Linked DNA regions of Cricetulus griseus. The protein of the gene in region 1 purifies or fractionates together with the protein of each later gene. This does not show direct contact. Links are inferred from orthologs where the notes say so. Each region holds a gene or a part of one and is shown in the gene's direction. Other genes may lie near its edges.

Region 1 (4,423 bases):
CTTGAATGAACCAGGGTCCTCTGGAAGAACAGCCAGTGCTCTTAACCATTAAGCCATCTCTCCAGCAGAGCCTTGCATTTTTGATCCTTTTGTTTCTACTCTCAAGTGATGGGATTGTAGGCCTGTGTGCCAACCCATCTAGTTTTTTGTTTTGTTTTGTTTTGTTTTGTTTTAATGTTTTTGGTGCATAGGATAGAACTTTGTGCTTGCTAGGCAAGAGCTCTACAAACTAAGCTACATCCCCAGTCTTTTTTAAATATTGATAAAAATCAACTCTCGGTAGAACCCTAGATATGCTCTATTCCTTAAAGGATCGTTCATTTGCAGACAATTTCAAGCCACAAAGTGCTGAAGAGAGATATTAAGGGCAGATTAGGACCTAATCAAAGTCATTCCTCTAGTCCCATAGAACCAGAGGCTTTAAAAAGATAGAAAGGGAACTTCGAGGGATTTGTGGACAGTTGTCAAAGCATTTTCTATATAGGGAACAATTTTAGCTACTCACTGTCCTTTGGGCCCTCTGGAACTGACTCCTGTATTAGATGATACATTATCATTATGTGTTATATATAATATATAATTATACATAAATATATAGCTTTTGAGACTCTCCTTGCCTGTGTACCAGCTTTACACTGTTTTCCCATTTGTGCAAGTCCACCTTGAGTTTCACTGTGAGTAACTTGACACAGAGGTACACAGAGGAGGGAATCATGACTCTTTATGCAATTCCCTTAGGGTGAAATGAGAGACTGGACTTGGTTTAATTCAGCAACATTGTTAGCACCCCATGTTTCCAGCCAACTGGAAACTGGGCCAGCCAGCTAACCAGAGCTTGCCAAGCAGTAAATTCCTTAGGTTCAGGCCCTGTGAGTTAGTTACTCACCTGTGAATAGATGGTACTTAAGAACTTGCTTTGGAGTTAACCAGTTTCTAGCTTAACTTTGGTTCTGTCACTTAATAACTAGGTATCCTTGGCCACTTAAGCTCCCTAATGCAGCCTCACAGCCTGTAAAATGGGAATACAAATAAATGCCCACTCCTTTGATTTATGGAAGTTAATTGAGACTCTTGCGTATGAAGCTGCTAACCATAGTTTCAGTAGGCTGAGTGCTTGGAGAAGCGAGGGTGTGTGGTCTTCGAGATACTGTCCTTTTTGTCAAGAGCTATAAGCACAGTACTTAATGATCGTGTCAATAGCAGTTTTAAGAAGTTCTTTGCCAGAGGCTGTCAACGCTATAAAAGTTGTAGAGTGTTTACCCCAGAAGGACTGGTTTTTATTTTATCTGTAGTGTTTGAATGTTTACATGTATTAAAATTTAAAGTAAGTACGTTTTGAAGGGAAAAACATCTTTGGCCAGCCGGGTTACCAGCTTGGCTGGGCCTTTCGATTATTTTAGGTACTGCAAAAGCAAGGAGGAGAAAACTCTAGTTATTACCCCTGTTAATATGGCAGCCCTTCCCACAAGGGCCCGTGGGTAGAAACAAAGTAAAATAATCTTTTCACACGAGACTTTTAGACTAGCTGTCACATCCTACCGTCATGCCCATTGGTCCTTGGGGTCAACAGTTTATCCACACTCTTTCCGGCTCTGGGGCAATTAAGGCTTACAGAGGAATCTAGGCGCAGGCTGGGCTGGGCCAGGCAGACCATCGGCCCCAGCTAGGTCGTTCCCGGTGCCGGGACCGCTCTTACCACTGCCTGCCGGACCAGGCCCGAGGGGCGGGCCCCAAGCCTCGGCCTCGCCTCCCGCTGCCGCCCGCCGCTTCCCGGCCGCCGTGCCGGGCGACGCCGCCAGCATGTTACAGAAGCGGGAGAAGGTGCTGCTGCTGAGGACTTTCCAGGGCCGGACACTGCGGATCGTTCGCGAGCACTACCTGCGGCCTAGCGTGCCCTGCAACAGCCCGCTCTGCCCGCAGCCCGCCGCCTGCCGCAACGGTCAGGGCCGGGAGGGACCGGGGAGGCCGGGGTCCGAGGAGAGGGAGGCCTGGGCCTGACGTAGCGAGGGCTGCCGGGCGCGAGCGAAGGGAGCCGGACCCAAGGAGAGAGGCGAGCTGGGGCCGAAGGAAAGAGAAGGCCGAGGCCCAAAGAGCAAAGGGAACCCGGGCCTGGCGTCATAATGGTGACTGGGCACTAGTGAAGGGAGTGGGGACCTAAGGAGAGAGGAGCCGGGGCCTGAGGAGCTAGGGCGGATTTGGCCTGGCGTCAAGGGCGGAGCCAGAGCGAGCAAACCCAGCCTGGGCTTGGCGGGACCAGGGCAGCCCAGGAGGCGGCCCGGCGGAGCGTTCTCTGCGTGTAAGGCAGTCCCTCCTGCGGGTGGGAAGCAGGCGACACCCGGGTGCAACTCGCGGGACTCATCTACTGCAGTGGCCGGACCAAAAGTAGGGGGCACCGAGAGCGAGCCTGGTGTTCCCTTGGCTCAGAGACTCAGGGTGCTTCGGGTTTTCCAAGGGACCGAAAAGCACCTCCGCCCGCAGCTCGGTGGCAGTGAGATAGCGGAGACCCGCTGGAAAGAGGCTGCTCCCGGCTGACTCCCGAACGTACTGCTGGGCATGTGACATGGCCTGCTCTGCTCCTGCCAGAACGCAGACCCTCCAGCATGACAGCTTCTTCATGGCAGGAGCCTTGGGCTGGGGACCTGATTTCCCTTTTTTCAGGCTGTAGGGTTGCTGTTTGTTACCCCTAGTAGGAGATGAGCATGGGAGGTCTTTTCAGCTTGACGAAACAGCTGCCTATACTACCATACTACCCATTCTTTTTTTTTTTTTTTTTTTTTTTTTTTTTGGTTTTTCGAGACAGGGTTTCTCTGTGTAGCTTTGGAGCCTATCCTGGCACTCGCTCTGGAGACCAGGCTGGCCTCGAACTCACAGAGATCCGCCTGCCTCTGCCTCCCGAGTGCTGGGACTAAAGGCGTGTGCCACCAACACCCGGCTTATACTGCCCATTCTTTCTAGTACATTCTCTTCAACCCTTAAGAGCAGTGGTTCTCAACCTTCCTAATGCTGCAACCCTTTAATACAGTTCCTCATGTTGTGCTGACCCCCTAACCATAAAATTATTTTGTTGCTACTTAATAACTGTAATCTTGCTACTGTTATAAATCGTAATGTAAACATCTGCTATCCGATCATCCCCGGAGTCACAACCCACGAAGGTTGAGAATCGCTCTCTTAGAGCCTTGTAGCCAGCCATGTTCAGAAGCTTCAGAATAACTTTGGAATTTTTAGGTACATACAAGTGGTTAATACACACATATGTGCACTTGTGCATTTACGTGTATGTGCATATATGTGTACATGTGTGTATATGTAGGTATATAATGGATATGTAAATATCCATTAGAATGTTCTTGCATGTCAGTGATGAGTTCATAGAAATTTAGCTTTCTGCCGAGGATGTTTTTAAAATATCAGTCATTCTCTCCGAAGAACTGGCAATAGCATAAACCATGTAGGGTTTCTATTTAATCACAGCTTCAAGAGAGAGAAGGTGGCTGTGAATCTACTCTGAACTTGGAGCCTCTACCAAAGTAGATTTGTCTTGTCTTTTAAAAACTTCAAGGTGAAATTAAGATGAGAAGTTATTTTGCACACCGGGGGCACTGTGACATTGAAATAGTCATAAACCAGGTTTGAAAATGTTACCTAATCGCTTCCACTCTGAATTATGTTTCAGATGGGAAGCTCTTGTCTGCTGAAGTGACTCATTATGTGATCCCAGACTGGAAAGTTGTCCAGGATTACCTTGAGGTCCTTGAATTTCCCGAGTTGAAGGGAATTATTTTCATGCAAACGGCTTGTCAAGCTGTGCAGCATCAGAGAGGCCGGAGGTATCTGGTTTTCATTATTTATTTATTTATTGTGAAAGTTCCCCCACTTCCATTAGAAAAGGTCCTTTGTTGGAGGGGAGGAGGAGGAATTCATTATTTTGTCAGAAAGGATTTTTGAAACTAATTTGGTATTCTCTTTGCTGGTGAGAAATGCAGTAACATTTTATATGTGTGCTTCAACACCTGGCCAAAAGATCTGACTGTAGATCAATAAACTGCAGTGTCCTGGGGATGCAGGTATTTAAGATTCCACGTGAATTGGCTTCTGGTTTACATTTTTATAGGTAGCACAATTGTTTCTTTTTATTTTTGCTAATGTATATTATTTAATCTTCTTATTTATAGATACATTGTTTCAGGAGCATTCTTTTCTCAGTAAAAGAATACTTTTAAATCTTATCTTCCTTTATTGTGGATGCAAATTGTACTTACAGTGATTTATTCAATGAAATTAAAAAAGTAGCTCATTCTTATTTTTAGATTAGTCCTATAACTATCAGCCATAGTAATTGTATTTGCTAAGCAAAACATTTTTAATTGAACCAGTTTAAAATACTTGCCTTGTGCCTAAATGAAAGAAAGGTTGCCCCTTT
Region 2 (4,378 bases), on another chromosome or scaffold:
CAGTTTTTTATCTCGCTGTTAGTGAAAGGACTCTGACCATCTCAAGTATGGCAAGCATGGCTGTGGCAAGCTTTATCCTCCCCCCACCCCATTCCTTCTGCCTTGCTAAAAACCGTTAGATCACATCCCTAAAGCTACTCCCAAGGTCTATTCCTTCATTTGGCTACTTTCTCCTTCTGAGACTGACTACCAAAGTCCAGCTATCAAAATCCCCCTTTGGTTCACCTAATTAACATGCCCAATCTAAATATATGCTAGCATCCTAGTCTATTTTGATGCAGACCTCTTTTTTCCCTTCTTAAAAACTACACCTTCAGGCTGGAGAGATGGCTCAGAGGTTAAGAGTACTGACTGTTCTTCCAGAGGTCCTGAGTTCAATTCCCAGCAACCACATGGTGGCTCACAACCATCCGTTATGAGATCTGGTGCCCTCTTCTGGTGTGCAGATATACATGGAAGCAGAATGTTGTATACATAATAGATAAAATCTTTTTTTTTTTTTTTTTTTAAAAACTACACCTTCAAAGTTACTTGCTGTTTTTCTGCCCGAGTCAGAAAGCAGCCACTTTAATTTTTCTTCCCTGATTAATAAAGGATCTCTCTGTGAAATAGGTGTTTGAGGAGTGTGTGCTTCTAATCCGGTCCAGGAGAGAGCCCCCTGCCCCCCCATTCGGGCTTTCCTTCAATTGGTGTGCTCCAAAAGAAATAGGGGCAAGAATTGTTCTGAGTTACTGATTTTCCTAAGCCATGTAGAGATAACTCAAGTAGGTGAAAAGGTGTGATATGTGTTGCGCGCGGGGGTGGAGTGGGGGTGGCGGGGGGGGAGCCCTAGAGTGTAATACACATAAGTGTTACATCTATTATGTACAAATGATAGGAACTACAGCTGAAAACACAGCAAAGGAGACAAATGAGTAAGACTTCCGTTGTTCTTTCTTTTTAATAATTGATTTTTATTTCATATGCATTGGTATTTTGTCTGCATGTGTATCGGTGTGAGGGTGTTAGATCCCCTGGAACTGGGGTTACAGGCAGCTGTGAGCTGCCTTGTGGGTGCTGGGTCCTGTGGAAGAACAGCCAGTGCTCCTAAACCATGAAGTCATCTCTCCAGCCCCTATTGTTGTTCTCCCATTCTTTATATTTTACAGAATTTAAATTGGTAGCAACGTCCAAACAAGTCATACTTTGCAAACCCTTTTTTCCCAGTTAAAATTTCAGCCACCTTTCTGTAGGCTGAATGGAAAGTAAAGCCTCCAAACCCAATACCCAGGGGCCCTTAGTTCCAGCACCCGTAGAGACTAAGCCGAAAGACCTGACACGGGATGTGAGGGCTCCAAATGAACTCCAGCTGGGCGTCTCTTTCACCCACCCGCGGAGAAACCACAGGGTGGGTGGGCTGATAGCTCAGATACGGGTGTTTGGGGGTGGGGAGGAGGGGGTACCGAAGAGAGGATGTGACTGGTTGGCGGTCTGAAGTCTATTTCAGAAAGCCCACAAAAACCGGAAAGGGATAACCCTGGAGGGCGGGCTCTTGGATGCGGAAGCGGAAGTAAAATGCCGGAAGCTGCGACGACTCCTGCTATGGCTGAAGTACTGTCGGTTGGGAAAGAATCGGTGGCCGGCTGCCGGGCGCGGGTAGCGCACAACGTGCTGAATCAGGTGGTTCTCCCTGGGGAGGAGCTGGTGCTGCCGGAGCACGAGGACGTAGACGGCCTTGGCGGCGCCGGGGAGCAGCCTTTACGTCTGAATTCGGGGGCGCGCCCGCGGCTGCGCGTCGTGTGTGGCCCGGGTTTACGACGCTGCGGGGACCGCCTGCTGGTCACCAAGTGTGGCCGCCTGCGCCACAAGGAGCCCGGAGGAGGCGGCGGTGGCGTTTACTGGGTGGATTCTCAACAGAAGCGGGTGAGCGGACGTTGGAGAGGCCGTGCTGCTGCGATAGTGGAATCCCAGTTCTGGGAAGACTCCCTGCAGCGGGGAGGAGAGGATGAGCTCAGCCTAGAGCCGCGGTGGCTTCTAGGTCCCCTCTGCATCTTCTTTAGAGGAACCACAGTAGAAACACAGCTTGAGAAGGGAGAAAGGAGAAAGGGGCTAGAAAGTAGGAAGCCGCAGGCGTGCCATGTGGAGTCCCAGTTTCAGTGAGTCTAAATAACAGGGAGTTAAATTATTCGTAGAGTAAGAGCTTTCATGTAGAAGTGTCTAATGGGTGGGTTTCCTTGACTGTAAGGATTCTTGTGCCGCCGGATGTATAAAAGATGCTGAAGTATGAAACCTGACTCAGGTCAACTACGGATTAGAGACAACAAAGTTGGATTGGTGCGGCCCGGTTTTGTAGTCCCAGCTACCTGAGGAATATGAGTTGGGAGGATTGTTTGAGACCCATCCTGAGCAACCTTGCTAAAACTTACTGCATATATGTTACAGTAGTCTTTTATGGTTGTTCTTTCATTATGTTTTGCAGTACGTACCCGTGAAAGGAGACCACGTGATTGGCATAGTGATTGCTAAATCTGGAGATATATTCAAAGTTGATGTTGGAGGGAGTGAGCCAGCTTCTTTGTCTTACCTGGCATTTGAAGGAGCAACTAAAAGAAACAGACCGAATGTGCAGGTAATGATGGGAGCCTTTGGTTTCAACAATAAGGCAAAAATAGCCACTCCCCAGAAATTTAGCTGCCCAGAGGACTTCCTGATTTGTCTCCAAAGCATAAACTATCCTTCAGATTCTCCAAGATAGTTCCTTAGGCGCTGCAGCTCCAGAACCAGTGCTGTGTTCTTGGTTCTTCTCTCCCAGGTTGAAGGGTTATGTTTGCTTCCCCTTGTTACCTGTGAGGTTCATATCCATATCACAAGGAAAGTGTCCCTAGTCTAAGGGACACTGGTACTGTCAGTCATCTATCTCTTCATCTTGGCTCTGAATCCTTGGAGCTGACAGAAGAGTGATCTTGTTACTACAGGATTTCTGGTTGGTTTAGCTGTATCCTTCCTGAGGATACATGTGAGCCAGAAATTTGATGGCATCTGTGCTACTTTTCTTTCAACTCTCACAGGTCTTGAGTCATTTGATCTTATTTGTTCCATCTCTTGTCTTTTGCATGCCTTATCCCTTTGTGTCTATGAGTTCAAGCATTTGCTCATTTTTGACAAAACTGGGCAGCAATCTCATTAACATTCCAGCTTCCATCTGTTAATATCCTCATGTTGACATTCCCTTTTTAAAGGTTTTATATGTGTGGATTTTTTTAAAAAAAGATTTAAGTATATGTGAATGCTCTATTGACTTTATGCCAGAACACAGCATCAGATCCCACTATAGATGGTTTTGAGCCACTATGTGGTTGCTGGGAATTGAACCCAGGTCCTCTAGAAGAGCAACCAGTGCTCTTAACCACTGAGCTATCTCTCCAGCTCCCATATTCCATTTCTTAACAGGAAAAAAAATGTTCAAATCATAGAGAATTCATTGGCATTGTGCCCCAGGGGTCTTCCCTCATATTAGCACTTCATGCTAATATGCTTAAGTTTCACAACACCACTGAACTTGGTTCCTTTGGGTCTTTAGTAATGGTGCTCTTCTGTCTGGATTGCAGTCTCTCAGCCTATGAGACAGACATCCATCCATTGAGATCCAGGCTAAGCACGACTATGTAAAGTCATTCATCATCATCACTTTTCCTGTATCTTTACCATGGTACTGGATTTATTCTTGAACTTGTCATGAGTTTATTCATTCTTGTTGCCCTGTAGAAGATCACATGTTCTTGAAAGGCATAAAGTGTCTTATGATTCATTCCCTCTAAGTTTTGTAGTCACCCAAAATGGTGGGTACTTAAATATTATTAATGTATGCATATCGAGGGTGTTTTGGCTCTATGTATGTATTTGCCCTCTATATGACTGATGCTTGTGGAGGTCAGGCAGGAAGGTCGGGTCCCCTGAAACTTAAGTTATGAATGGTTGTGAGTTGCTAGGAGGGTGCTAGGAACCAAACCTGGGTCCTTTGCAAGAGCATCAAGTACTCTTAACCCGTGAGCCATCTCTCCAGCTCTCAACAGTGGGGATTTTTAATGTTGAAATTCATTCTGTTTCCTCAGCTTCATCATTTTAAAGTTCAGTTTTGTAACATTTTAAATCTAGAGCTGGATGGTACTGGTGCACACCTTTTATCCCAGCACTTGGGAGGCAGCAGCAGGCAGATCTCTGAGTTCGAGACCAGCCTGGTCTACAAGATCTAGTTCCAGGACAGCCTCCAAAGCCACAGAGAAACCCTGTCTCAAAAAACCAAAAAAAAAAAAAAAAAAAAAAGGATTTCTGGATGAAGGGAACTTTTCTGCTTTTCTGTCTTATAGGTTGGAGATCTCATCTATGGCCAGTGTGTGGT
Region 3 (4,353 bases), on another chromosome or scaffold:
TTCTAGGACATCCCAGGTTGTTACACAGAAAAACCCTGTCTTGAAAACCACAGAGAGGGAGGGAGGGAGGAAGGGAAGGAGAGAGAGAGAGAGAGAGAGAGAGAGAGAGAGAGAGAGAGAGAGAGAGAGAGAGAGAGAAGCTTATTTTGGCTCACAGTTCAAGAGTATAGTCCACCTTGGCTGGGGAGTCATGATGGCAGGAGGTTGATGTGGCCAGTTACATTGCATCCAAGGTTAGGAAGCTGAGTATAATGAATTCTTTGAATGCTTCTGTACAGCTTGCTTTCTCCTTTTTACTCAGTTCAGGACCCCAGCCCATGCAATGGTATTTCCCACTTTACCTACTGTGGGTTTTCCCGCATCAATTAACATAATCTAGGTAGTTCCTCACAAATTTGCCCAGATTTGTTTCCATGGTGACTCCAAATCCCATCAAGTTGACAGTCAAGATTAATCATTACTCTTCTGAATTTAATACCCTTTTATATAGTTTGACTTTGAAAGGGAATCAAGACTCAGGGAGGGAGTCAGAGAGGGAGGTTGGCATGTGTGTATAAGTTTCCAGGTATTGAACCCAGGGTTCCCAACAGGCTATGTATTCATTCTATCACTGAGCTCTGAAACTCCAGTTATCAACATTTAATTTTAAGGTAAAGCCATGTGAGTATATTTGTAAAAAAAGGAAAAAGTTGATGGGAAGAGCTATGTTGAAAAGGACTGGAGGTTGTAGTTCACTGGTAGTGTAAAGCCCTGTTTTAATCCCAAGAAGTAAAGGCGGTATCCAGGGCAGGAAAAGACTAATGGCGCCAGAAAGACCATGATGACTTGAGATGGTAGCTCTAGCAGGTTTAGCAACTAGTAGTATGTCCAGGTAAACATGGGTTCCAGAAAGACAGCCGATAATTTCCTGTCTTCTGTATTGCTGAGTTTCCTATCCTTTAGCTAGCAGCCCTAAAACCGGAGCACGGGATATAAAGGGGTGGTAGGCCGGCATGGAGTAGGAGGGAGTCAGAACTTTAAAACACTTTCCAGCTGTCACATTCCAACACTTTAAAATGAATTTCCATTTCTACCAGAAGGGAAACTGCTTTGAATTTCAGCCTCGCCATTTGCTCCATGATGGGCAAACTGGCAGGACAATGCTAGGCCAAAAGCTATGGAAAAGTTGCAGCTTGGAAATCCAGCTCCCAAGTGATGTGGAGATTCTTGTACTGCAAAGGGGCACTGGATTGGGTGCACTGGAAGTGAGTCACAAGGGCCTCTGGCTGGGCGGGTTCCAGCTCAGGCCACCAGCTCAACTCTAGGGCCGATTGGAGCTTTAGCCAAAGGCCCCAGTGTGCGCCTGCGCAGCCGCTGCTCCGCCCTCTCCCAGCCCTGCATCCGGGTCTCGGGAAGGGGCGTGCCCGGCCGGAGGGGCGGTCCGCAGAGGAAGGGAAAGATGTCGTGGGAAGCTGGAGTGCGGGGAGGGAGGGAGGCGGGGACGTAGGCGGGCCAGGGGGCGGGGCGGCGCGCGGGGTCACGTGACGTGCGTGGCGACGTGTCGGCCATCTTGTGTTGTTGAGGCTGAGGATTGACTTGGGTTCTGAGAGACTCCTGTCCCGGACCGCAGGTAACCAGTGGCTCGGTGTGTCTCCCCTGCCCGCGGCCATCCCGCGCCCGGGCCCCGCCGTGGCGCCCCGAGCCGCCGTGGCCTGGCGCTCACCGTTGCGTCCCCGCCGTTCCGGCCCGAGCTGGCCGCATGGACACACTTGAGGCTGCCCGGCAGCGGCTGCGGCCGGCTGGGGGCGTCAGACGTGTGGACAGGGCAGGTGCGGGGTCGGCAGGAGCTTCCTCTAGTGCGAGGGCCGCCGCGGGCCGGGCACGTCCCGGCCGAGGGCAGCCCCCGGCCTTCGCCCCCGTGGCATCGCGGGGGGAAGCCGAGGAGAGGAGGCGGGAGGCGGGGTGGGCAGTGTCAGGCCGGAGGGCTCGCCTTCCGCTGCCCGCTCCTCGGGGCCGGCCGGCGGGCCGGCCGCCCGCGCAGCCTCGGGGTGCCCCGGCTAACAGCTGCTGGGAGCCGACAGCTGCTCCCGCCGGCGCTCCTGCCCGCACCTGCCCCGGGGAGGTGCGCCCTGGCCTTCCCCACCGAGCATCTGGACTCGGGAAGACTGCTTCCTCGGCCGGAGAACTGGTCTGGAGCAGGCCCCAGGCGAGGTGGAGTCAGGATCTGATCCTGGGACTGAGAGGCTTGGGAAAGTAGAGCCCCGGGCAGCTCCGGGCACCGGAATGTTCGTTCACACCGGGTTGAAATGGGCAAGCAGTTTCCCACGAAGCACTCTTGAACACTTGAGTTTTGTATGCGAAATACCGGTCAAGTGAGCGGGGAAGGGAGGCTGTGAGAGAAGCAGGTTGTGTCACCGCGTTTGGGAAGCAGGAGCGTTGCTTTGCATTTATCTAGTAGCACTGTGTCCCCTCACCTCCCATTTTCTTGAAAGTCAAAGCACTTAAACACACCTAGTGGCTCTATTAGGAAGGTAAGTAGTCCAACATAACATAAGAAATTAAGGGACATCAATCCGGGATGGCTTCCTACCATTGGATTATAGGTAGTTTGGCTCAGAGTGTTGTATTTAGGGACTGTAGTCTTCTGTAGTTTCTCCTAGGAACAATGACTTCCTAGATGACAAAACTTATCATCCTTTTTGTTTATTAATTTTCATCTTTTTTTAAAGGATTTTATTAATTATGTATACAACATTCTGCTTCCATGTATATCTGCAAATCAGAAGAGGGCACCAGATCTCATAGAGGATGGTTCTGAGCCATCATGTGGATGCTGGGAATTGAACTCAGGACCTCCGGAAGAGCAGTTGGTGCTCTTAACCTCTGAGCCATCTCTTCAGCCCCCAATTTCCATCCTTTTAATTTTAGTTAGAACACATACTTTGTCCTCACTTAATGGTGCTTTCCTAGTGTAGCAGCATTTGAATTGCTTAAACTAGGGTATATACTTCATTGTCACATTAGAAGACACTAGAAAAACATTTAGAAGTCACAGGTATCTGGAAAAATAGCACCAACATTGAAAAGTTAACATTGATATGATGTTAGTGATCTGCTAGAAAGGAAAAGACCATACATACCTGTTTTGGTACTTGTCAAGGATTTTACGGTTTTGTGGCTGGGGAAGTAGGGACTATATATTTTTCGACAAACTTTAAGTACTTATGTCGTATGCTGAGGACAAAAATATTTGTTTCTGTGGAGTCATTTCTAGATATCTAAATACTTAAGTAAAGATACACAAGTGTTTCCTAACGTAAACTGATTGAAAGTTGAAAATATTTTAAGCTGAAAATGCATTTAATACAGTCAGCCTGCTGCCCATCTTACCAGCAAAGTCGCTTGTAGAATCTTGATTATTTCCTTCTCATAATTGTATGGCTGGATTGTGATTTTGTGGCTCTCTGTTCCTAGCCAGCAGTGCCAGGAAGTATTGTACCACATATTGCTAACTCAGGTAGAAAAAAAGAGATAGGGAGACAGGGTATAAGAGTTGTGGGAAGGGTTAATTTTTTAATTTAGTCACCTGAGGAGACTTACAGGTAAGTTCAAATTTGAGGAAACACCTGATAGGTAGAGGCAGGGTACTTCAGCCTGAGAGTCAAAAAGGGCAAAAGACCCTGAGACAAAGCCAAATTTAGGCTGGACCTATCAAGGGCTTGCTAGGAAGAGCATGAGAGTGACCAGCCTGGAGAGATTTAAGTGAGGAAGAAACTGATAGCAATGTGTCTACAGACCTCTTTTGGTAGGAAAATGAGATAGATCATTCACTGTTGTGGAATCTCTTCTTTTCCCTTGTGACTGTGTGTGTGTGTGTGTGTGTGTGTGTGTGTGTGTGTGTGTGTGTGTGTGTGTCTGTGTGTGTGTCTGTGTGTGTGTCTGTGTGTGTAACCCAGGCTGGCCTCAAGCTTGATATTTTGCTTCAGCCTCCCAAATGCTGAGCTCTATGGAAAAGGAAAATCCGGATTCTATAGACTTGAGCCAATATCCCTCCCTCCCTTACATTTGGGAAACTCGGTGTTCAGTTCATATGTTTAGGGAATTCTAATGAATTATTTTAAAAGTAAGTTTTTCTTAGATGTGATTGGTGTTAAGTTGCCTGGAAATACCTTTCAAAAGGAATGGCCTTTAAAGGAGGGTATCCCAGCTTCTTGACTGAAGTAGGAGCACTGCAAACTCAGGCTGGTAACTTGGTGAGACACTGAGACTCAAAAGAGCTAGGAATAAAGCTCAGTGGTAGAGCACTTGCCTTGCTAGCATGCCTGATGACAAAGTTCAGTCCTCAGTACTGCTAAAACCAAACCAAACAAAAAA
Region 4 (4,237 bases), about 54 Mb from region 1:
CAAAGTCCAAGCCTGCAAGACATCTTCTCTCAGAAGCACCTGTAGTACTATGTATGGACACAGGAAGTGCACGCCTAGTCTATCAGTGAGGGCTCAGCAGTTAACAATTCAGTACCTAGGAACATAGTCAGGCACTTCCTGCTGCTTTTTCAACTCACCTGGCAACCCCACTACAGCCACTAATCCACTATTACATCTCTAATCACCATGTTCTGCGGCTATGCTTACAGGAGCCTTCCCTTCTGCCCTGGAAGAGTCTTTGGTCAGAAGTTCTGTTTATTTGTTTTGTTAGCTGTGAAGCCATAGCGAAGAAACGCCCTTTTTTCTTCTTCTTCATCTTCTTCTTCTTCTTTTTTTTTTTTTTTTTTTGTTATTGTTCTTGGAGACAGGGTCTCACTATGCAGCTCTGGTTGTCCTGGAACTCACTATGTGGAGCAGGCTAACCTCAAACTCACAGAGATCCGCCTACCACTGCCTCCCAAGCACTGGGATTAAAGGTGTGTGCGTGGCCCGCACCTTTTACTTCTTGGTGTTTAGCTGTGAAGGGTTACTTTCCTCAAAAATAGAACATCAGGTAAGTGAAGTTTCGGCCAACTCCCCCCATTTTCCCACACAGTTTCTCTAAAATTCGGCTCCTAGACTATCTCTCTTCCTTAAAGGGCTCTCACGACGACCCCAGCTTCACCTTGCAGGCATCCTTTCTGCATATCCAAGTCCCATAATCTCCCAGGGACGGTTCTCTTTCTCAGCAGTCCCCTCCATCCAGGCATTCCGAAGCGCAAGGCGCTCTCCCTACTCTGCCTGGTACAATACTCCAGCAACCACACGAGCCCTGGGCCACTACCTGCTGATGAGCAGTAAGGGAGGAAAGGATAGAGCAAGAGGGGACAGAGAAAGATCGATCGATCCCTGGAGTGGAGGGTGGGAGCGGTGAGCAAACTGAGAAGCCGGAGCCTCACTCCCGGCTCAGACCCTCCGGGACCAGAGGGACCTAACGAGGCATCCATGGTCTCTTCAGCTATCCTGGGGACCCACTAAGAGGCTTCAGGAGATGGTCCCTCAGGGTGGCACGACTTCCGCCTTCCTGGGGCGTCCCGCGTGCGGCCACTTCGACTCCGGCCCCAGCGCGCTGGGGTGCGCGCTTCTCCCGGAGTCCCGGCTGGGGGCCCGCGCCTCCCTCCTCCCGGGGCTTCCTCTCCGCACTGACCGTCACTCTGAAGGCAGCTCGCAGTCCCGCGCCGCCAGCTGCTGCCCCTACCCCGGGGCCCGGCCTCCAGCGTCCGCGATGGCTCGGGCACCGGGCGCCGCGGCTTGCCGGACTCGGCCTCACACCGGGCGGCGCGCGGAGGAGAGGCCCATGGAGCTCCAGGCGGTGGCGGCAGCCGCGGCTGCGGGAGCGGCCGCCGCGCGGCTGATGACGCGCAGGCACGGCGGGGAGGGCGCAGGCTGATGACGCGCCCGCCGCGCTGACGGCGAGCGGGCAGCATGGCGTCGGTTGCGCTGAGCGAGGCTGAGAAGGTCTACATCGTTCATGGAGTGCAGGTAGCGCGGCGGCGGCTGGTGCAGGCTTTAGCGCTCAGGGAAGCGGTGCGGGCGGCTGCGCGGCCGAGACCACGCCCCGAGGCCTCGTGCGGCCTGCGGGAGGGAGAGTCCTAGCCCATCAGGGAGCGACGGGAGTCTCCCGGGGCTGCCGCCGAGTGAACGGAGGTCCGTGAGGACTCCGCGCGCCCGGGGCCTGCGCCCGAGATCCTGGAACCGGAACCGGGCCCGTGGATGGACGCCTGCAGACATTGCACCGAGAGAGACAGAGGCCGTGCATCCGAGGCGGAGCTAACAGCAGCCCGCATCCCTGCCACCCCCTAAAAGCGGGGACAGGAGGGAGTGCCCCTCAGTAGCAGAGGGCTTGCCTAGCACGCACAAGGCCTTGGGGGCTGGCTCCTGTAATCCCAGTACTTGGGAAATGGAGACAGGAGACTCGGAGTTTAAGACCAGCCTGAGCTATGAAGACCCAGGCTGAAGAAAAACCACACTCACACAGAGAAGAGTGGGGGAGTGATTTGGTTCTCTTTTGGCGGTGCTGAGAATCGAACCTCGTGTTCTTGTGCATGCTTGGCAGGCGCTCTACCACAGCCCTATTCTCAGCCCTTCGTTTCTTCTGTTTTGGGGCGTGGGGGCGGGGTCTTTGTATTCCATGCTGGTGTGGAACTCATATCAGTCCTTCTGCCTTGGCAGAAGGCATGCCCCATCACCACCTGGCTGGGAAGGTTTTCTTTTTTTTTCCAAAGACTGGTAGACAGTGGTATAGTTGTTGATTTTCCCGTTTTAGCTTAGATTCCTGGGTAGCTATAATGAATACCATGATGTGTAGTCCATCCTACTTACGGACATTAAAGAGAGAGAGGTGAAGAGTGTTAATCTGGCAACAACCTGTTATCCTGCAAACCTTCTCCCTGTGGTTGGTTTTGTAATGTAGCCATCAGATTAAGGCAACCTGTTACCTTTTAAACTCTATAAGGCAACTGAAGGCCATGGTCTTTTTTAAATCATGACATACTGTTATCTTCTGTGCTCCTTATAGAGTAGAAATGCCAATATTTAGTCAACAGGATCCAAACCCACAACTCTTTAGTTTTCAGTTCAAAGTTAAGAATAGAGAGGTATATGCCGAATGGTGTTGGAGGGAATCTTAAAATAAAGTGGTCAGCCCTGGGGGTGGGGAGAATGTTGCTTCCCTTTCAGTTATTTATTTTTTTGTCAGAAATGTGGCTTTGCCCTAAACCATTCATTCCACATCACTGGTCTTCATGGTGACTGCATTAAAAACTGTTGAGATTTAAATTCCTCAGATTGAGGAAATATTAAATGACCTGAAGAAAAAGTGGGTTCGTTGTATGAATTGGAAAGCTTCCATTCAGCTTCAGAGTACCTTCTCTCAAATAACCATAATGATCAGTGACTATCTCTAGTGATTTGTCTGCTTTTCTTTGTCAGACTGTATCCTTTCTCAGTACCCACTTGTCTAGCTTCCCTTCCATCTTGGTGAAATCTCCCCCCCCAAAAAAAAAACCCTGTACCTATAATTTTGCATGGCTTCTTCATCCCCTCTATCACATCATGGCCTAACAACTCTTTGCTTTTTTTGAAACAGGGTATCACTATATACCCTTGGGTGTCCTGGAACTCAGAGATTTACCTGCCTCTGCCTGTGCCTCCGCCTCCTAGGTTCTGGGAGTAAAGGTGTGTGTGCCACCATGTTGGGCTAGCCTACCAAATCTTAATTAGATCAAAGACCCAATTCCACTGAGAGAATTGGTCTGGGCTGCTAGTGGTTCGTTACAAAAAGAGCTGGTCACCCTCTGTGTGGCATGCCTTAGGTTACATATCTACCTCTGGCCCTATTAGAGGATGGTAATAACTCAGGTGGCAGGCCGCTCCAGGGCCTTATAAGCCCAGTGGGCTTTCTCTGGTCTATCTACTGAGTGTTTTAATTGTAACCTCATAGCCAAACTAGGTCATGGCTATTGATTAGGCTTTCAAAGAGGCTTCCCTCTTGGGGCTCTGTCTAAGCTATTTCATTTCTTTGTTCTTGGCTGTGAGAGGAAGACATGGCTCAGCTGATCTTTTCTGTATCTCTGCTCCTTTTCTATGGCTTTGCCTTTTAGCTTAATTTTTTATCTGGTCTTCATTGATAAAATTGAGAAGTCAGCCATCAGTTGCTCAGTCTGACCATTCAGAACTGAAACTAGTCCCCAGCACATTTCCTGTTTAGCCCTTTGCCCTTTCCATTTACAAACCCATGGCACAGAAAGCCTGTGCCCCATCTGTGACCTTATTGAGCCACATCTGTTGAATGGGATGCAAAACTGCTCAGGAGCATTGGAAAGAGAAATGACAATTGCCATCTAGTTTTACTTGCCATTTCTCGGGTCTGGTCCTGTCTAGTAAGAGGACACTTACGTCTCTGTTCTCCTCTAAGAAATGCTGAGGTACTGGGCATGTCAAAGCAAGGTAGATGGAGGGGTCACTTTCGAGAGCTACTTCTAGTCTGGAATCTTCCTGAGTATGTTGACGTAGTAACACCAATTGCCTTGAACCACATCCAAGTAGCAGAATTGTTATAACGACATGGGTAATAGCTATGCAGGTCACCAGGAGCTAGCCCAGCATCCAGAAGCCCACATTCCAAGGGGCTTCAATCTCTGCTGAGAAGGGCAGGGTCCATGCTGTCATGATGCCC
Region 5 (3,661 bases), on another chromosome or scaffold:
TCAGTATTCTTGAATTCATCTGGCTGGGCCATCTATTTAAGATGGAGTCATTTCTGGTGGGACAGAAGGATGTGGGTAGAAGGTTTGCCAGGGTGACGGTTTGGGTAAAGATGGTGCATTTTGGGTTCCTTTCTGAACCTTAGGACAGGACTTTGTGCTTTGTAAGGGACAAGATAGTAAATGTTCTAGACTTGTAGGCCAGTGAGGACCCATGTACTACTGAGCTCTGCCATTACTGCCCAGAACTGAATCAGCATGACTGCTACGGTAAACTGTAGACCATAGAGAGCCACCCTGAGGGCTGTGGTTTCCCAGAGTCTGCTCTGGACCCTCAGTTTTGAGTGAGGGGAATGAAATAGCAAGATCTAAAGTCTGTCCTAAGACTGTGAAGTCAAAATTGAACTTCTTCCTAAACCTAGATGTGCTTTATTCACAGCCATATTGTGTTCTGTTCTCTCTATCCAAGGTAGATATGTGTGACTGTGTACCTTAAAGTTTCTGGTGAGGAAAAATGGAAGATATAGGGCAGTTAGGATTACACCAGGAATGTAGGGGCAACCTTGAACCACAAGGGAATCTGGAAAGCTAAAACAAGTCCAGGTTCATTGATATTCAGAGGACTGTTACTGAACTAGTCTGCTAGGTGGCCTGTGTACCCATGGTACAGATGAGCTAGGACACTGACACAGTTCGGTTTTGTTTGGCAGTTCATGCAAAGAGGCCTGGACTCGGAAACCAAGAAACAGCTAGAAGAGGAGGAAAAGAAGATGATCAGCGATGAGCACTGGTACCTGGATTTGCCAGAGTTCAAGGAGAAAGAGTAGGTTTACTGGGGTTTGTAACCGTGGTTTGGGAAGCCCGGTAAAGCTGACTCATCCTTCTAGTGCAGTGCTTCCTTTTCTTCTAAAAACTATTAATCTGTGTGTGTTCCACATGGACTCAAACAAAGGCCCAAAGATGGGTTATTATACCGTCAGGCCTCACCAGCTTTGTTTCTGTAACTGTCCTTCGGTAGGCCAAGGGATGTGTGTTTGTTTGTATCAGTACTACACTGAATACCGTTCATGTCACAAACATTGCTATATTGGTAGTCTATCCTAAACTAAGCATTTCATTTCCCTTAGTTAATAAATACAGAAACCCAAGCATACCCAGCATCATTGTGTCCTTTGCTGTTGAGGAATTGGAGCTTAAGAGAGTTGTTTTTCCCAGAGCCAACTGCCTGGAGGGACAGAAGCTGGGTAATACCTAAGGTAGTTTTTGTTCTGCTTCCAAACCTGTCTAATACATGAAAGAGTCTTGAGTTGGACAGTGGTAGATTCACCTCATCTTTTTGTCTAAATCCTGCAAGTTGTGTTGCATTTTAGCTTGTTCATTTTCTTACCTCAGTATGGTATATTATTTACTTACACTTTTGTTAAAATGACTGAACATTTTACCTACTGTTTTTAGATACATATTTGTCTTTCCCTTTTCCCCTTGTTAATTTGCAGTTTAGTTAGCTGTGTTGTTGTTCTTTTTATTTTATTTTTTTTACTTTATCTAGTCCTTTGGGATGGTGACATATTCTTCTGGGAAGAGAAAGTCCAGATTCCCAAGAAAAGTGACTTTTTTAATCTGTGTGCTTCTTACAGGCTCTAACTATTAATCAAGATGAAAAGTTTCCAAAAGATAATATGCATAGGAGTGGGCTTAGGGGGAGGGAGTAGCATATGAAACCTGGAGGTAGTATACATAGGAGTGTGCAGGGGGCTAACACAGATGACAAGGCCAAGGATAGTGTGAAGAAAAGTATTCAGGGGACTGCACAGACAGGAGCCAAGGAACAGTGTAAACAGGAGTGTGCAGGGGGATTAGCACAGATGATGAGCCTAGGGACAGTGTGACCAGGAGTATGCAGAGGGGACTAGTATTGATGAGGAACAGTCATTTTATGTGTTGGTTGAGTTTGCACAGTCTTCTAGTTATTTACCAAAGGGTAAGACAGTTCTGCCTCATTTGGGATATGTTTTTTTGTTTTTTTGTTTTTTTCTAATACAACATACTGGTCTCAGAAAATAACTTTTGGGTTTCCTTTCCTGGGTAAATAAGGCATAAATAACTTCGCCATCTTATTCCTGTGACATGGAGGGAAGCTGTGAGGTAAGTGCATGGTATAGGAGCTAATTCTGTGCTGGAGGGCACAGGCAGCCCAGGGGATCCCAGAACCTCAGCCTCCATTTCCTTTCCTTGTGTTATTTGATGGGTTGAATAGAAGTGCTGAGAGCAGATGTCTCAGAAAAGCACTGGCTTGTCCATTCCAGGTACAGCCTGCTATGTGTTTTGGCAGATGCGTCTCATCAGCAGGGTTAGTTTCTTTTCCCTAGTTAACTAAGGGCAAGTTATATTTTTGCTGTTTAATTTTAAAAAGATGATTACTGTTTTCTGTTAAAATGTCAGGAATTACTTTAATTTCTGAACATGAAAGCCATCTATTTTTTTGTGTGTGTCAGGAGAGAAAGAGGTCTTGAACTCCCAGTCTTCCGGCCTGGGCCTACTGAGTGCTGAGATTGTAGACATGTGCCAGTTCCATGATTTTTTATTAATAATTTGTGGCTATATTCATAAAAATTGTTAAAGTATATTGTTTAAGTGTCTTTGACTTGGGCCATCGGTCAGTTGCTAAGTATTCATACCTCCTTGTTTTCCCAGTTTGTATAAAGTTGATAATACTCCATTGTTTCTTCTGGAGTGCTGACCATATTTTCAGCAGTGAAGCGGTCTGGGGTCTGAAGTATTCTTATCCAGAAGATTTTTCATTAAGGAAGTCAGATCTTTGTTCTTTAGTAGATACAGGACTGTACTCTGTCTTTGAAGCAAGGTCTTACTCTGCAGCCCATGCTAGTCTCTAAACTCAGCCTTCCTGCTTCAGCCTCCAGGTCATGGTGTCCCCATCTTGCCCATGGCATTTTCCTTCCTCAGACTGTTTTTTTTTTTTTTTTTCTTGATTGTAGAATTCATATCTGCTACTTTCCTGCAGTTTTCACTTAAAATTCAGTTTCATGATTGTTTCTTTTGCATTCATATTTTCATTGAAATTCTGAATCATGTTTCATAAATGTATATTTATAATACATTTATAATTATTTTTTTTCTTTTTTAATTTGAATTAGAACCAAGATTGTTTTACATGTCAATCCCAGTTCCTCTCCCTCCCCTACAACCCACCCCCCAACTAAAACCCTATCTATCACATATCCTTTCTGCTCCCCCTGGAGGGTGAGGCCTTCCATAGGGTGTCATCAGAGTCTCTCGTGGCCCACCCCCACCCCACCCCCCGTGTGTCTTGGCTCAGGGAGTATCCCTCTATGTAGAATGGGCTCCCAAAATCCACACCTATGCTAGGGATAAGTACTGAACTACCACAGGAGGTCCCGTAGATTTCCGAGATTTCCTCACAGAAACCCATGTTCCTGGGGTCTGGATCAGTTCCATGCTGGTATTCCAGCTATCAGTCTGGGAACCAAGAGCTCCCCGATGTTCAGGTCAGCTATTTCTGTGGGGTTCACCAGCCTGGTCTTGACCCCTTTGCTCATCACTCATCCTCTGCTATTGGATTCCAGTTCAGTTCAGTGATTAGTTGTGGGTGTGTGCTTCTACTTCCACCAGCTGCTGGATGAGG
Region 6 (4,312 bases), on another chromosome or scaffold:
ACAGTGCACCTAGCTGGGATCAACAACTGTTGGCCTCCTTTAGCTTTACCTAGAGATATAACATTGAAAGTGATACCTGTCTCTTTTCTAGGTAGCTCCGGGCTTCATCCATCATCACAGGCACTAAAGGGAAAAAAATATTTTTACAGATTGCTTTTGAAAATGAGTTAGCTAGCCCAGCATACTCCACTCACATAGGGAGATGTGCCTGTCATCTACCAAAACCCTCTGAGATGTCACTCAGGCCATTCTCTCTCAGATTGTCCCTTGTTCTCATCATAGGACTTTTCTAGAAAACTTCAGTCTTTCCAGAAGTTTCCCCTCTTCCCAATCACAGCTGCCAACCATGCACTTCTCTCAGTGACTGTCAACACTGCAGGACTCCCTTTCTTCTCAAAGAACCCATTAGAGGGCAGTCGAGGTGGCACAGGCCTTTAATCCCAGCACTCAGTAGGCAGAGGCAGGCAGATCTCTGTGAGTTTGAGGCCATCCTGGTCTACAGAGTGAGTTCTAGGACAGGTTCTAAAGCTACACAGAGGAACCCTGTCTCGAAGGGGGGTGGGGGGGGGAAGTACCCATTAGTGAATGAAGTCAAGTAGAAATTACAGTTTCTCTTCCTTGTAGGAAGGCACAACAGACAACTCTTTGCTAGGTGAGTCCCAGAATCTGGGTAGTTTCCTTCTGGACTTTGCCATTGAGGAAGAATTTTCTCTTCTTCATGTTGGTGACATGGTGGCATTTTTTGTAGCAGTTATAAATGCAGCAACAGGAACCTACAGGCAGATGTGGAAGTTATGTTACATTGGTCTCGTATATTTGCTATGCTAAAACATTATCATTTGCACAGTGGAGACCAGCATCACACAGATCCCTGCCAGCTGCAGCGACAGCTAAACCATCCTGAATCTCCACTCTTGCCTATAAGCTTCCTCTCCTTCCCCCCCAGAGGCCTTACTAGACAATGGCTGCCCCCAGCCATGGCAAGACCCGGGTTCGACCGGCAGCACCCTCGCGCGGCTCCACAGAGTATTGCACGGGTCTCTGAAACACAGGGGACATCTGTGAACTGATGGCACTTACCAGCCTCACACACATGTCATGCAGCCATCTAAGGAGGCTTGGAGACATGGACTGTTTTGGAGTCTCCCTAATTACGCGTACTTGTATTGTGTGTATGGGCTCGTGCGCACAGGCCGGTGGGAGCTGGTGTCACCGGCGGTTGTGACAGTACCGACCCGGCCCTCCCCAAGAGGCCTGGACCTAACCAGGCGATGGTGGGTCGCCCGGGCGAGTCGGAGCTGCTGTTCATGCCGGGTCCCTGAGAACACAACAGCCTCCACGGAGGGAGGGGCTTCTCTAACCCAGGAGTCCTCCAAGCCTCCTGGGCGGCAGACGCCTGCAGAGGGAAGGGCGCAGGCGCGGCGGGCTGCGCAGGCGCGGTGCGGGCAGGAAGATGGCGGCCGGATTCAAGTGAGTGAGTGCGCGTGCACAGAAGGCGCGGCTGTGGCGGCGGGCGGGGGACCCCGAGTACTCGTGGGGCGGCGGGAGGGCTCTCCCCACGGGAGGCGCTGAGGGACGGCGCAGCCAGGACGGCCCCGGCCTCTTAACCGAGCGCCACCCCACTCTCCACGGTAAAACATTTGTGGGCGCTCTGATGAAGTCCCAGGCTGCTCACGCGTGTAAACCGCCAACTCGTGTGTCAGCGAGTGCAGCCACACGTACCTGCTGTAACTTTTGACGGGGTGTAGTTGATGAGTCCACAACGTAGCTCCCGTAGCTGCAAAAACACTCCTCGTGGTCGTTAAAGTTGGAGGTAGTGCTAATGCTGCTTACTGCCTGACATCAGAGGCTGCATTCCCTCTTTCAGAACTAGAGTGACATGACTGCCACCCAAGTTAATCCTCTTCTAAGTGTGTCAAGGGCCTTGGACTCCGGTCCTCCTGACTGGGGCACAGTTAGTTCACCTATTAAGACTGGTTGCTACTGTAAGAATTTTTTGTTTTTGTTTTTGTTTTTTTGTTTATTTTTGTTTTTTTCAGACAGGGTTTCTCTGTGGCTTTGGAGCCTATCCTGGCACTCGCTCTGGAGACCAGGCTGGCCTCGAACTCACAGAGATCCACCTGCCTCTGCCTCCCGAGAGCTGGGATTAAAGGCGTGCACCACCACTGCCCGGAGAGACCTTTTTATAAATATGGTTAATACCTGAGCATGTGGAGATCGATGCCTCAGCAACACACTCTTAAGTTGTGGGTTTATGCCCTAGGATGCACTGACTCACTTTAACACATTTTTAACATGTTTCAGAACTGTGGAACCACTGGAGTATTACAGGAGGTTTCTGGTGAGTATTTGTGTGCTACTGCCTTAATAAAAATATGCTTCAAGGCACAGTTTTTCAATTCACTTAAATTAATGAGGCTTAATGTGTTTTCCCCTGCATAAGTGAAATACATATGTAACCTATTTCCTTATAAACATTTAGAAAGAAAACTGCCGACCTGATGGAAGAGAACTTGGTGAATTCAGAACCACAACTGTTAACATAGGTGAAGATACACTTCATTTGGCCTGGTGGGACACCACCCACTCCACCCCCATCCCGTGTGCCACATTTTTTTTTTTTACAACCAGTTCTATTATGCCTAAGGCATTTGGTGATGTTAAGAGATTTTTATCATTACACCATCTTTGTAGTTTATCTAAACCTGATTAGCTCAAATTGGGGGGAAGAAGAAATTAAGATATTAAGTAGTAATACCATTTTCAAATCACTGACCTGAACCTGTCAAAAATTCCAGAGACAGCTGGAAAGGTCTACCTAGATAACCATACAAACCAAAGCATTTAAATTGCTTTGTAGGATACTTTGTGTATTTTTTTCCTTTGCTTTTTAAAGGAATTTGAATAAATACCATGCTTACCTTTCCAGGTTCAATCAGTACAGCTGACGGTTCTGCTCTAGTGAAGCTGGGGAACACCACAGTCATTTGTGGAATTAAAGCAGTAAGTTCACTGTCTGTCTGTTGATAGCAGAGCTCCAAATTAGCTTCATGCTTACGAGGTTGTAATTTAACTGGGGGTCAGAATTTAGAATTGTAATCCCTGCCCCCTACAACTGATTCTTAGCTACTCCTCATACTTTTCGGATTTTGGCAATATCATTTCTGAAATGAGATTGTTAGTGATACCTTTTAGCCATCGGTAGTTTGTAATTGTTAGGCACAAAGGACAGTAGCTTTCTGCTGGCCACCTGCTGTTGGGGCACCTTATCAGGCACTTTACAGAATTACCAGTCTCCACCCTGCTCAGCCCATGAAGCTCAGTAGCCTCCCCAGGTGTGTGAGGCTCACAATAGAGTCTGATGACAAAACTTGTGCTTTCTGACTTTACTCTGAGGGACTCTTCTTTCTTTAGTGGTACTGTCAAGCTGAAGTGATAACTATTAGAACACCTACTCCTTGCCAGATTTATACTGAGAACTTAATGGCACTGTCTCATTGGGCCTTGGGAGTAGGCCCTAGGAGTAGGCAGGTACCGTTCATCTGTCCCTGTGACAGCAGAGAAACTTATAAGACATCTGTCCCTGTGACAGCAGAGAAACCTATAAGATCAAATAATGTGCCCCAAGTCTCTCAGCCTAGAAATTGTGGGTCTACAGCTGAGCTGGGCTAGTTACTACTAGTTACTGAGTCTAGCCATATTAATTTGTTATTAAACTCAGATTCTTGGCACCCAAACAAGTACACAGAGGTGGGGCAGAAGCCCACTAGTCCTCATCACCTTTATGAACAGCAGTCTGGTTGCACTGCACTTCTTTAACTCTCCTGTGAATCGTTGGGAAGGGCAGTGCCAGTATCCTTCGGGTTCTGCCGTGATCCCCAAGCACTGTAGATGCTAAATATGGGATAATTGGCTGATGTGGTCTTTTGGTACAGCCTCTGTAACTAATTGCTAGAATGTCTTCATAGTCTATTCTTGTTTCTTTCACTGGAATACATGTATTTGCTTTGTAGGAATTTGCAGCACCACCACTAGATGCCCCTGATAGAGGATATGTTGGTGAGTTAAATGCTCTTGTAATTTAGCAAATACTTGAGTAAGTTTAAATCGAACTATTTTGTAGTGAAGTGCTGATGATTTAGGCAGTGATTCCCTATATTCAGAAATAGAATAATGCCCCCCTTATCTCAAGCTTTCTGCTTGTTAGATTATAACAGAGAACATCACAGGAACTTAATTTTGCCAACCCCTTATTGGTTGTCTTTGTTTACACATTGAGTTATACATATTCCTTATCCAAGGGGTAGTTGTA
Region 7 (3,159 bases), on another chromosome or scaffold:
CTCAAAGGAGGTGGATGGCATTCCTAGGATGAGACAGAAGGTTGTCTTCTGACCTTCCTATGCATGTGCACTCATGGGCATATGCACACGTGAACTTTTATATGTGTACACATTATAAACAAAAAAAAATACAGCTTGTTAAATGGTCTTGTTTTGGACTGCCAGCTTCTGAAAACACAGACTTTTTATTAATTGTGGAAGCTTGGCCTTAGCTTAGGCTTGTTCCCAACAACGTCTTATAACTTAATCTGTTTATATTAATCTACATTTTGCCATGTAGCACATGTCCTTGTCTGGCTGGTGAATCTCTTGCCCCTCAGATTCTTTCCCAGAGTTTCTTTTTTTAAATTTGGGTTTTTTGAGACAAGGTTTCTCTGTGGCTTTGTAGCCTGTCCTGGAACTCATTCTGTAGACCAGGCTGGCCTGGAACTCACAGAGATCCGCCTGCCTCTGCCTCCTGAGTGCTGGGATTAAAGGCATGCGCCACCACTGCCCAGCCCCTTTCCCAGAGTTTTTATATCTTCCACCTACCCTCTCCAGTAGCCATTCAGCTCTTTATTAATCCAATCAGAAGGTGCCTTCGGCACGAAAAGAAGGACAGACACATCTTCACTCGGTGTACATAAAGATTGTCCCAGCAGGGTGGCATGGAGTGCATGGTAGAAATGAGTGTGATTTCTCTCTTCTGTGGCTTTTGGGATTGTTTGCTTATTTGGATCCTGTTTGTATTTCTTTTTTCCTTCCTCTTTGTGTCCCTGTGTAGCCGGTAGCCCTTAGTGATCGAGAGGTGATCTCCCGGCTTCGGAACTGCGTAGTCTTGCTCGTAACTCAGAGAATGATGCTGTATGACACCAGCATCCTGTACTGCTATGAGGCCTCCCTTGCACATCAGGTACTCCACCCAGACTCCCTTCCCTTGTGTAAGCTGGTCCTGTGGTTCTTCAGCATTCTGCTTTCCTTCCAATGAGTCCCTGCCATGTTCCCTGAGGTATATCCCCTATTGCTATGGATTTGATGTAGGATAGGGTTGTAGGTAGGATTTTTCTATGACAATAGCTTTCCATACTACATCTTACCTGTTCTAAAAATTCAGCCATCTTCTTGATTTTTTTTTCAAGTCAATAGATTTTTTTTTCTCAAATTAAAAAAAAAAAATGTCTTATGTGTATAGGTGTTTTGCCTTCGTGTGTATGAGTCTGTGCGCCACATGCATGCCTGGGGAGGCCAGAAGAGAACATCAGATCCCCTGGAACCAGAGTTACCGTCAACTGCCATGTGGGTGCTGGGAACTGAACCAGAGTTTTCTGAAAGAACAGTCTTCTGATGAGTGACTGAACAGTGTCTTTGTCAGCTGTCCCAGGCACCTTGCTGGCTTGCTTTCTAAGCTGGGTATGGAGCTGAGACAGTGTCCTTGCTCAGTCTCTGATGGAGTGCAGACTACACTGTATTTTAGCCAGACTTCTTGCCTCATTTAGTTGACTTGATGTTCTGCTTATGGTTATTTCTGAATGAACACATACCTTTTTCTTTTTTCTTCAGATCAAAGATATCTTAAAGCCAGAAATAATGGAGGAGATCATGCTAGAAACACGCCAAAGGCTTTTGGAACAGGAGGGGTGAGGCCAGGTGCTGAAGGATGGGACTGTGTGCCTCTCAGGAGCAGCCTCTCTGGAAAGGAAGAGTCTGCCGTATGGTGACTCTTCACTACATGTGGCCCGGGGAGGATCTGACAAACACATTATTCACCTGCAGCGGCACAGCAGAGCCAGGCCTGTTCTCTTGTGTTCTGGTGGCTTTGGACACTTGGGTCCCTTTCAGAGCACGCTGTCCCAGTCTGATGATATATCTTGGAGTAACTTGGAGAATCCATGTCTTCCAGTCATACCACCCAGCACCCCATGGAACTGTTCCACTAGAAAACACGGACTGGGGGTAGCGCTCAGGGGTAGGACACTTTCCTAATGTGTGCAAGGCCCCAGGTTCAATTCCCAGCTCTTCCCCCACCCCAGAAAAAAAGAAAACCAAAGAAAAAGAGAGACATGCAGGGCCAATGGGGATGGTCTGTTTGGACTTCTACTCCATCCCTTTAATGCACAAGTATGTGGTTGGAGAAGAGGTGGTAGAGTTAGGCCAACAGTGAGGTGGATAGAAGAATAAAATGAGCCAGCAACCTTTGTTGGAACCTGATTCCCACTGTGTGTCATTCTGGTGACTGGTTCAAGGAATCTATATACCACAGTGCTTTTGGATGCTTTGACAACCCCCCCACACACACACACCACCACCAAAATGAAAGGCAGCTGTGAAAAGCCAAGCCATTTCCTTGTATAATTGATGTGGTGATGTATTAACTTTTGAATAATTTAAAGTTAAAAGGAACATGATACAAGTCCTCAATGTAGAGTGCCAGTTCCTATGCTTTGTTTTTCTTATGACTGTTTAAAAATGGGTACCCTGGTCCAGCATGGCAGTGCAGGCCTATGTTTTCCACATGGAGGCAGAGGCAGAGGTGAGGCCAACCTGGACTACACAGTGAGACTATCTCACTACACAAAACCAGAAATGGTGCCCAAATTGACATTTTTTCAATTAACATACTTTTACCCCACTTATTTTGTGTGTATTAATTTATTTTTGTGTATGGGTGTGAGTGCATACATGTGGAAGTCAGGGGCACTTGTCCATTCTGTCCTACAATGTGGGTTCCAGAGATGAAACTGAGGTCATCTGGCTTGGCAGCAAGCTCCCTCCTTACCATTAAACTGGCCTGCCAGAGTGAGGGAAAGAGCCTAGGGCTTAGTGTATACTACTAGGCAAGGACATCTCTGAGCAATGGCTGATTTGGATGCAGGGTATGGTGGCACATGCCTTTCATCCCAGCACTTTGAGTTCAAGGCCAGCCTGGTCTACAAAGCCAAGGCTATACAGAGACTGTAAGCAAATGTGAGTGCTGGGTTTTGGCACTAAAATGTAAGTGGGTATGTTACAGCTCTGGAGCTACAAAGGTGTCCTGACTTATCAGGAAGTCAGGCTGCTTAGAGCTGCAATAGGACAGCTCAGTCCTAAAGAGAAAGGTGCCCTGGCTTTTCAGGAAGCCAGGCTACCTAGGACAACTCTGGAGGCTGGAGCTGCAATAGGACAGCTCAGCACTGAAGAGAA

The links.
Region 2: the proteins of Dis3l (region 1) and Exosc3 purify together in Homo sapiens (affinity purification with mass spectrometry; 6 studies listed by BioGRID and IntAct, counting the BioPlex papers as one, with this or other methods). This does not show direct contact. The link is inferred for Cricetulus griseus from reciprocal best matches to the Homo sapiens genes DIS3L and EXOSC3.
Region 3: the proteins of Dis3l (region 1) and Gigyf2 purify together in Homo sapiens (affinity purification with mass spectrometry; 3 studies listed by BioGRID and IntAct, with this or other methods). This does not show direct contact. The link is inferred for Cricetulus griseus from reciprocal best matches to the Homo sapiens genes DIS3L and GIGYF2.
Region 4: the proteins of Dis3l (region 1) and Exosc7 purify together in Homo sapiens (affinity purification with mass spectrometry; 3 studies listed by BioGRID and IntAct, counting the BioPlex papers as one, with this or other methods). This does not show direct contact. The link is inferred for Cricetulus griseus from reciprocal best matches to the Homo sapiens genes DIS3L and EXOSC7.
Region 5: the proteins of Dis3l (region 1) and Mphosph6 purify together in Homo sapiens (affinity purification with mass spectrometry; 3 studies listed by BioGRID and IntAct, with this or other methods). This does not show direct contact. The link is inferred for Cricetulus griseus from reciprocal best matches to the Homo sapiens genes DIS3L and MPHOSPH6.
Region 6: the proteins of Dis3l (region 1) and Exosc8 purify together in Homo sapiens (affinity purification with mass spectrometry; 4 studies listed by BioGRID and IntAct, counting the BioPlex papers as one, with this or other methods). This does not show direct contact. The link is inferred for Cricetulus griseus from reciprocal best matches to the Homo sapiens genes DIS3L and EXOSC8.
Region 7: the proteins of Dis3l (region 1) and Exosc2 purify together in Homo sapiens (affinity purification with mass spectrometry; 5 studies listed by BioGRID and IntAct, with this or other methods). This does not show direct contact. The link is inferred for Cricetulus griseus from reciprocal best matches to the Homo sapiens genes DIS3L and EXOSC2.

The regions. Positions count from the first base shown.
Region 1 is NC_048597.1:175,958,110-175,962,532, reverse strand, and holds the start of Dis3l (DIS3-like exonuclease 1), read left to right. Parts: upstream 1-1,592; 5' UTR 1,593-1,800; coding exon 1,801-1,939; intron 1,940-2,307; exon of another isoform or gene 2,308-2,382; intron 2,383-3,676; coding exon 3,677-3,830; intron 3,831-4,423. UniProt on the Homo sapiens protein: Catalytic component of the RNA exosome complex which has 3'->5' exoribonuclease activity and participates in a multitude of cellular RNA processing and degradation events.
Region 2 is NC_048595.1:98,138,272-98,142,649, forward strand, and holds the start of Exosc3 (exosome complex component RRP40), read left to right. Parts: upstream 1-1,545; 5' UTR 1,546-1,554; coding exon 1,555-1,902; intron 1,903-2,458; coding exon 2,459-2,608; intron 2,609-4,346; coding exon 4,347-4,378. UniProt on the Homo sapiens protein: Non-catalytic component of the RNA exosome complex which has 3'->5' exoribonuclease activity and participates in a multitude of cellular RNA processing and degradation events.
Region 3 is NC_048595.1:438,969,163-438,973,515, forward strand, and holds the start of Gigyf2 (GRB10-interacting GYF protein 2), read left to right. Parts: upstream 1-1,485; 5' UTR 1,486-1,609; intron 1,610-4,353. UniProt on the Homo sapiens protein: Key component of the 4EHP-GYF2 complex, a multiprotein complex that acts as a repressor of translation initiation. In the 4EHP-GYF2 complex, acts as a factor that bridges EIF4E2 to ZFP36/TTP, linking translation repression with mRNA decay.
Region 4 is NC_048597.1:230,037,089-230,041,325, forward strand, and holds the start of Exosc7 (exosome complex component RRP42), read left to right. Parts: upstream 1-1,425; 5' UTR 1,426-1,485; coding exon 1,486-1,542; intron 1,543-4,237. UniProt on the Homo sapiens protein: Non-catalytic component of the RNA exosome complex which has 3'->5' exoribonuclease activity and participates in a multitude of cellular RNA processing and degradation events.
Region 5 is NC_048596.1:194,428,676-194,432,336, reverse strand, and holds part of Mphosph6 (M-phase phosphoprotein 6), read left to right. Parts: intron 1-707; coding exon 708-820; intron 821-3,661. UniProt on the Homo sapiens protein: RNA-binding protein that associates with the RNA exosome complex. Involved in the 3'-processing of the 7S pre-RNA to the mature 5.8S rRNA and play a role in recruiting the RNA exosome complex to pre-rRNA; this function may include C1D.
Region 6 is NW_023276806.1:96,562,284-96,566,595, forward strand, and holds the start of Exosc8 (exosome complex component RRP43), read left to right. Parts: upstream 1-1,354; 5' UTR 1,355-1,453; coding exon 1,454-1,470; intron 1,471-2,304; coding exon 2,305-2,341; intron 2,342-2,482; coding exon 2,483-2,546; intron 2,547-2,929; coding exon 2,930-3,003; intron 3,004-4,013; coding exon 4,014-4,059; intron 4,060-4,312. Other genes in the region: dolichyl-phosphate beta-glucosyltransferase-like, read right to left, coding at 77-123, 607-739. UniProt on the Homo sapiens protein: Non-catalytic component of the RNA exosome complex which has 3'->5' exoribonuclease activity and participates in a multitude of cellular RNA processing and degradation events.
Region 7 is NC_048599.1:143,403,225-143,406,383, forward strand, and holds the end of Exosc2 (exosome complex component RRP4), read left to right. Parts: intron 1-763; coding exon 764-892; intron 893-1,539; coding exon 1,540-1,620; 3' UTR 1,621-2,612; downstream 2,613-3,159. UniProt on the Homo sapiens protein: Non-catalytic component of the RNA exosome complex which has 3'->5' exoribonuclease activity and participates in a multitude of cellular RNA processing and degradation events.